Linked DNA regions of Nothobranchius furzeri. The protein of the gene in region 1 interacts with the protein of each later gene in a pairwise test. Links are inferred from orthologs where the notes say so. Each region holds a gene or a part of one and is shown on either strand. Other genes may lie near its edges. The genes, in order: map3k5 and lats2.

Evidence for each region.
Region 2: the proteins of map3k5 (region 1) and lats2 come close enough for resonance energy transfer, tested with the Homo sapiens proteins (2 studies listed by BioGRID, with this or other methods). The link is inferred for Nothobranchius furzeri from reciprocal best matches to the Homo sapiens genes MAP3K5 and LATS2.

What each region holds. Positions count from the first base shown.
Region 1 is NC_091742.1:11,447,056-11,450,869, forward strand, and holds part of map3k5 (mitogen-activated protein kinase kinase kinase 5), read right to left. Parts: intron 2,743-3,814; coding exon 2,565-2,742; intron 750-2,564; coding exon 732-749; intron 326-731; coding exon 148-325; intron 1-147. UniProt on the Homo sapiens protein: Serine/threonine kinase which acts as an essential component of the MAP kinase signal transduction pathway. Plays an important role in the cascades of cellular responses evoked by changes in the environment.
Region 2 is NC_091754.1:33,304,531-33,308,779, reverse strand, and holds the start of lats2 (serine/threonine-protein kinase LATS2), read left to right. Parts: upstream 1-1,355; 5' UTR 1,356-1,579; coding exon 1,580-1,918; intron 1,919-4,249. UniProt on the Homo sapiens protein: Negative regulator of YAP1 in the Hippo signaling pathway that plays a pivotal role in organ size control and tumor suppression by restricting proliferation and promoting apoptosis.

The DNA.
Region 1 (3,814 bases):
TAAAGACTTCTCAGACCTTAATCTGAAATAAACCTGCTTTGGCCTTTATACTGACAACTGGTTTAGTGTTTCACAGTCGTGAGGCTATGCGTGAAACTCGTCTGCAGCAAGCAGCAGCCACGACTCTGTCCATTTCAAGTGTTCTACCTGAGAAAGAGGGACCTGGGCCCCTTGACATCCCTCTCGCTGTAGCACTTGACGCTGGGCTTGAAGATGAATGGGTTGGTGTTGAGGTCGTTGTCAGGGGAGACGGAGCCATACTCGCTGCTGCTGCTGGTGTCCTCCACCACCACCGGCACCGGCAGGGAGATGCTACGGAGGTACTCTGAGCAGAAGGGTTTCCACCACACATACACGCACACGCACACGCACACGCACACACACACACACACACACACACACACACACACACACACACACACACACACACACACACACACACGCACACGCACAATAATTCTAACCTGAGGTAGACAATGTTTCTCACTAAAGCAAACTACTCTGAGTTTGTGTTTAAGGTGAAGAGCTTTATTATTTTATTGGGCAACAAATAAGAAGAATTGTCCTTGACTTATAAAAACAGAATATAAACACATCTATTTTGAGTTCTTTGACAAAAAAGAGGTCTGTGAAGTGTAGAGGAGTTTGTAAAATTGAAGTTTAATTTACAAAGTCCATCAAGTAGTGGTAGAAATGTCTGAAAAACATGTTCAGAGGGCTGAGTTACTCACCTGCACCCGAGGAAGGAGCTGCAAGGAGAAAAAAAACCAAGAGTCAGCAGTTTTTTGAGAGAAAAACAACAGGATTTACATGTACGATTGGCAGGATAACGTTTCCGAGCAAGCAGCTTGCAGTGCACTGGTGCCGGAGCACATGATTGCATCAGCGCTGCGGGGTGCAAACCCCATGAGGAGCATGCTCACATGTTACGAAAAACAGGAAGGATGTGGCTTCAGTCTTTTAAAAGCTGTGTGATAAAATAATTAGTCCAGACTGACGAGGAGTTCACAAGTGAACCATTACTAATTATTATTTTTTGGAATTAAAGCTGCAAAACTTCTAGTAATTTCATTATTATGCATTAATGATGTTTTAGTGCTTTAAGTAAAAAACTAGTTTCAGAGCTTTAAAGATTAAACTTAAAAGCACAATGAAACTGATAAGCTGAGAGCTGTGGCTCAAACGGGAGGGAAATTAGTATTTGAACTTGCCTCCCCACTTATAAAACGATCCATCAAGCTAGTTTGCTGTTATTTAAGTGATACGTGGTGGTTTTCAGGTGCAGAATGCAGATTGTGTTTTTTCTTTAAATACCATTTCTGCAAACTTTTAACTCCAAGCTAAATGTTAGCTTTGCGCTAAGACGTTTTAGCCTAGTCCACAAGATCCCCCCTATCCAGCATGTTTTAGTTGTTTCCCTGCTCCAACACACTTGATTTTAATCAGCAGATTATCAGGCTTGTACAGATCTTCATGACCTGCTGAACACCTGATGCAACGGTTGAATCGGGTGTGTTGGGGTAGAGAAGCAACTCAAACATGCTGGATAGTGGACCTGGAGAACAAAGAGTGGAGAGCCTTGCTCCAAACTAACAAGTGCGTTTCCACTGTCGGAACTTCAGGATAAATTTACAGGAACTTTCCAGCATGTGCGTGTCTCCACTTAACGGACATTTTCAGGCACGTCCAAAGTATCGTCAGAAGCTTTTCCGGTTCGCGCCTCACTTTTTTTTTTACAGTAGCGGCCCAAAAAGATCTCCTAACACATGGGTTTTCTGCTTCCTGATCACGTGACGTGTGACGTACGTGGATGAAGATCTGCTTTAGAGCTTGGATGTTCGTTCTCACGGTGCGGGGGCTCGTTCCGACACCCACACAGTAAAAAAAAATAATAAAAATGCAAATGACGACTTAAGTCATTGGCAGTGAAAGAGTTAACTGTGGATGCTTTGTGGCGCTGATCAGTGACGTCACTTCCTGCCGAAGCAGTCACAATATGCTGTCGTATCTCACGGTAAATTTCCCCATCCAGAATTTCCCCTGAAGTTCCAACAATGGAAAAGCGCCTGATGGTGCAAATAAAGTTGATTGCTGTGGCGAAGTTATCGCCCCTTTTTAACTGCATGGCTGCCATGTTGGATTTTGTGGGCAGGGCTGGTGAGGAATCTAATGGGCTATTCCCATCTGTACCGGGTCGGCCCGGGCCGGGTAGCCCCAGTCGGCCCCAGCCTGGCCCGGTTGATTCCACACATCCTTGTCTTAAGCCCATGTGGTCTGATTCTACCCACCAATCAGAGGCTTGCTCTAATGGAAGGTGTGAATTTGCTGTCAGCAGTGGGTGTGTTGGCCCTGGTCGGCCTGAAGCAGACCCCCTCGAGAAGAGGGCTGAGAATGAGCCTTGGTTGGCCCGGAAAAATACCAGGCCACCCAGATATGTAAACAACCTACGCTACCCGGCCCGGGCCGACCCGGTACAGATGGGAATGGCCCATTACTTTGCGTTCAGGACAAGTTTCCAGGACTTTTTATCTCGAAGATGCTGGTAATTTCTGAACTGAACCCACCACTGAGGTTGCTCTTGCTCTTCTTCCTGCGGCTGGTCACGGTGAGGAACTCGTCCGTGAGCAGGTCGAAGGCGGTGGCGCGCCGATCTGGGTCGGGTTCGAAGCAGCGCAGAATAAAGGCTTTGGCTTCTGGTGACATTAACTCTGGGATTTCTGGGTGAATCTTAAACATTCCCACCTGCAAAATCCAATCAGAACAGACGTTCTAGTTGAAAAATGCAACAGCGTTCAAACAAGCAGCAGCAACTTGGACAAAGTTTGAGAAAAAAGAAATCTCCTGATTAAAGGAACAACAGACGTTCCTGTCACTAAGGCTAAGCTTTGTCGATTTAGGATTAAGACAATACCCCACCCTTAAGGACAGGAACATCGAGGCCCTTTTATTCAATAAGAGAACTCCGTGTTTCTTTCAAAGAACAGACATGGGATCTGTAACTGCACCCTGTACTGTCTGATCTTGGCTCTAACAGTGAGTGCAAGTCTTTCCCCGTTAAAGTCCTCTAAACAAAACATGCTTAGGGTACAATAATATACTTTCTTGTCTGAGTCCCAATCCTTTCATTAAATCATATGGAAAAATCCCATGTTTGGAAGCTTTGACGTGAACTCCATAATACGTTCCAGACGTCCCTTCACTCCTTTTTACCGCCTGTAATGGACCACATGTGGTTAAGAAGAGCCGTTTGCTGGTGTGGCGCTCTAAAAATTCCATCCACGGCATTCGTGCCACATAAACGGACAGGATAAATAATCCAAACAAAGACACTGTAAGGGTGGATCTCACCCGTGTTTGTGTTCAAACAAATGTTCGTGTGCGGACGGTATTAAGAGGCTCAGGTTGCAGCCCACAGGTGCAGGTGGACAATGGCTGATCCAGTTTTTAATATAAAACAGAGGCTTGGGGGAGAATAATATTTATGAGACTTTGTGAGATCACTATTATTCTGACTGACTGATTGCTAACAGTCAATTATTTTACAATGCTAAACTCCCATTCTGTTCCGCTCTGAACTTGACAGTTCTCCACACCTTCATCTCCTCACGCTTAGACTACTGTAACTCTCTTTTCACGTGTCTGAGCAGAACCTCCCTGAACCGTCTACAGGTGGTTCAGAATGCCTGTGCTCGGCTTCTGACCAAGTCCTCCAAACACACCCACATCACCCCGGTTCTCCTCCAGCTTCACTGGCTGCCAGTCAACTTCAGGGTTCATTTCAAGATCCTGGTTCTGGTCTATAGGGCCTTACATG
Region 2 (4,249 bases), on another chromosome or scaffold:
GGAATGGAATTTTCATCGCTCCGACGCGGAACTCAAAGCATCACAGGAATGGAGACGACGGATCCCAGAGATGGGGATTTGTTTTCTCCTCAGCTTGGCCCAACATTACCCCGCTGCCCAGCTATATTTAAAATAAAAAACATATTTGTCCAAACAGAAGGGACTGTGTCTTTCCTAGAAATGGCCTAAAGGGATGGAGAGGGCCAAGGAGGAGGCGGGTGGGTGTGTCCTCCACAGCTCTGAGTCGTGTGGTTGATATTATTATAAAACTCATGATGGACATGTTTTCTAGAGGTGCATTCTCACTACATGGAGTTTCTTTATTGTCTACAGACTGAAATATTTTTATCCACAGTTGTCCAGTCCTGGTCCCCCAGGGGCCCCATCCAGCAGATTCCAGCGGTTTCTCTGCTCAGTGGGCAATTTCCAGGCTTGTTAGAGCTCGATGACCTGCTGAATCAGGTGTGTTGGAGCAGGAAATGACTAAAACATGCTGGATAGGGGCTCTCTGGGACCAGGAGTGGAGAACTCTGACATAATTCTGTGGAAATACTCAATCTGTGTCATTCATTAAAGCGAAAACATTGTGAGAATTGAGTCGCTGGACAGTGAAAACTCCCTCTTTGACTCTTTGGATAAAGGCTCCTCTTGGATCGTCATGTGAGCCTCCTGACAGGAACATGTGCACATTTTCCACATGTCACCCCAGCTGCCCTGGAGGAGTAACGCTGTCGTGGCAGAATGTGGAGCACGCTCCTCGGGATCAGACTGCCGGCCGAGGGGTGTGAAGCGTCTGATCGGCAGAGGGGCTGATGCGGGGTGGGCCGTGCTGGAGCGGCGTGCTCTCAGAGGGGTGTTCACGGATGACCACACTGCTGAAGTATGCAGCCGCTGCAGCTGCGGTCGGGTTTTATGAGCACCGACGTTCTTGAGGTTATTCACTGTAGGTTCTGAATTTGACTCCCTGGCTTCCAGGTAATAATAGTCTCAAACTGGTACCAGGAAGAAGCTGTGACATTTGGTGACCACTGGCAACATGCTTCAAATTCCCGTTCTTTCTCCTTACATTTGAGTGGAACGTTTGAGGGTTGCCTCCTTTAATCTCCTGTTATGATCTCCGTCCCACAGCTACAACTGACTCCCAGTCTAAGCACCACATTCTTGTGGTTGAGATGGATTCTGCTCCTTTTGCATTGGTGATGAGAAAGGTCAGATGGTAATGACGACGTTCTAACGTGATCTTCCCCTCCACAGGAGCAGATTGGCATCATCATGGTTTGGCTCTGCAGGACCCACATGTTCAGCTGCGTTTCCTGGAATAAGCTGGAACCTGAGCTTTGAAAGCCACACCATGGAATGCTTGTAGTATCCCGCTTCGCCTCTCGTCCGTCCACCCCGCCAGGAATTAGAAACACAAAGTGAGACACAAACAACTGAGGAGGTCCCTTCCATCGCTGCCTCTGATCTGTTGTCCTGGAGACTATCTAGGTCACACTTGGAGGTGGTGCTTTTGAGGGTGTAGTTGGGTGAGTGCAGCTTCTCCCTTTTAGAGTAGGTGCCTGCCCTGGGCACTCTGGCAATGAGGCCCAAGACTTTCCCAGCTGCCCCGTATGTGGGCAACACGCGGCAGCGGCTTCAGGAGATTAAGGAGGGCCTGAAGCAGCCGGCCAAGCTGGTGAGCCAGGCTCTGCTTGGGGGGGGCTCCCGGGCCGAGGGCAGCAGGAGCGCAGACTCCAAGGGCGGGAAAGACGCCACCAGCCGGCAGCAGCACCCCCGCCCGCCACAGAAGTTCAACAACTACCAGAACGCTCTGCGAGAAATCCGCAGGTCCCTCATGCCCTTCGCCAACGGGCCAGGAGAGGCTGAGGAGGTGAACCGGCAGATGCTGCAGGAGCTCGTCAACGCCGGCTGTGATCAGGTGAGCCTCACTGTTCATGCTAAGGAAGATGTGGTTGATAAAGGTGTCTTTAAACTCTGACCATGGTTGGAGTTTTAGAAGTGACAGGTTGAAGTCAGAAAAAAGGACTGCACCTCAAGCACAGATGCTCTTCGAGAGTCATCCATGTTTTCTCCATGAACTGGTCTGGAGCAGCTGGAAGCTGCTGATACTTTATATCTCTGCATCATCCAGCTGCACAAGAGTAACCTGTTTATTTCAGAGTTGATCCACTTAGAAGTCATAATGGTCAGGGGTCTCGTTTATCAAACATTGCGTAGAATCCTTACTAAAACCGTACTTAGGCCAAGTAGGTTTGTGACCGATACAACATGGAGTACGCACAGGCTTGTTCTGTGTGAGCACGAAGCGGTACAAGTGATAATTTTATCCTTCTCAGCAGCAGCACTGCAGGTGCTCTCCATGTCCAAAATGTGCGTAAGCCAGGTCCTTAGTCAACTTAAAGTTGTGCATTTTTCCACTAAGTTTTCTTTCATAAATCCCAAAGATTGCGTGGAAAGCTGCTCACGCAGTTTTTCGACCCCGTTTTGTGCGTAAGCAAGCTTGATAAATGAGGGCGCAGGTCTTTAAAATCTAAATTTCCGTTATCGCATGATTGGTAGTACGTCCCATTAATGCTCCGGGGTGGCCATCTTCTCACAACAGAATGTTGTTCCCTCTGCTGGAGCCACTCCGCCTCCTTCAGTCAGGAATTAGAAAATAAAACACCCTAGTGCTTTTGGGTACGACACAATACAAGTCTCTCCTGCCAAGTAGTAACTGGGTTACATAGTAAAAGCTCCAGTGTTGAAATGTCAGGTGGGTTTCTCAATCGGGATGTTTGGGATTTTTCACCCTTCTTCCCACTTTCAGGATATCCAGCAGGCCCGGAAGAGTCAGGAGACTTCCCATGAGTGAAACCTTTTAGCTGCTGCTCATCACTCCCTGTATTAGACCGGGCATCCCCATAAGGACCAGTCTTTCATCAGCTTAAATGTCTGTTATTGTCTAAAATCATTGCCACACAGTTCGAGCTCCAGTTCCTACTTCTGGTCTGAACAGCAACTAGAAACCTCTGAGATCTCCTCAGGATCTTCTCTCTGGGAACTAAAGTAACAGTGAAGCGCCTGGAGCACGTTTGGGGCCCGACCAGAGCAGATGATTAAATCACAGATTGTCCTGTTAGTCCAGTTAAGATCTGGGACATTTGTGGTTTCAAACCCCTGTGATGGAGCGCGGAATGTGAAGAATGCTCCGCTCAAGCCCGTGCACGGCGCTGAGGAGGAGGAGAGCCTACAAACTGATTTCAGCTTGCCACAAAGACCCAGTGTTTGCGCTGCATCTTGTTTCCACATCTGGAACCATGAGGTGCCGCGTTGGAGGATCAGGGGACAAAAGCAGTCTTGGTAATCAGCTCTTTCTCTAAGAGGTAGTTAAACATTAGTGTCAGCATACATTTTATTTCCACCGACCTTTACAGAAGTCAGGGGAAGGTAAATGCTGCTGTCCTGAAAACCAATCTGAGCATCAGGGTCAGTTTCGGTTATATGTTTGAAATGAATCTGAAACGCTCGCAGGCTCCACTTCCTGCTGCAGCGGTGACCTCTTTCTGCACCATTGTGAACGGACCAGAGCAAGGCGGGTCCAGTCAATACAAACAGGAAAAGAACATTCAATGGCAGCAGGGCGGACCAGTTCCTTCTGCTGCAGTCCAGTCTCCACCCAACACGTCGCCTCTCCTCCACCTCCTCTTCCTCTGTCGCTGGTCTGTCTGTAGGACAGCGCTGCTGGGTGTTTGTCCCCGTTTGTTCCTGTCGACTGTGTACAACTCCCCTCGGTCCACCAGGATAAACCTTCTAAACAAAGAAGGTATTAATTCATCTACAGACGAAGACCAGGGCCACTAAAGATTTATTTCTCTGATTTCTGAGATAGAAGTCTAAAATCGTATTAATCTCTTCTGTATATATTGAATGTGAGTGTCTGCAAAAAGAGAAAATATATTATTTTCAATGGGTTGTTGATATTTTTGGAGAATGATGTAAAAAAAGTAAACAACAGATATGAGAGTGGTGTTTTTAGTGTCATTCTGTTCAATTTAAACATGAACAAAATCAAAAGCTGCTTAAATTTGAATTTTTTTTTATTCTATCTATGTTTAAAACTAAGTTTTTAAAGTAATGTTATCCAGAGCGAAGAGCCATTGTAGAAGATCCAAGCAGCCTCAGGTTGTCGATTCCTAAGCTAGGCTAACCTTAAAGGGACATTATGGAAGTTTGACAGCCAAAACATGTATAGCAATAATAAATGTCT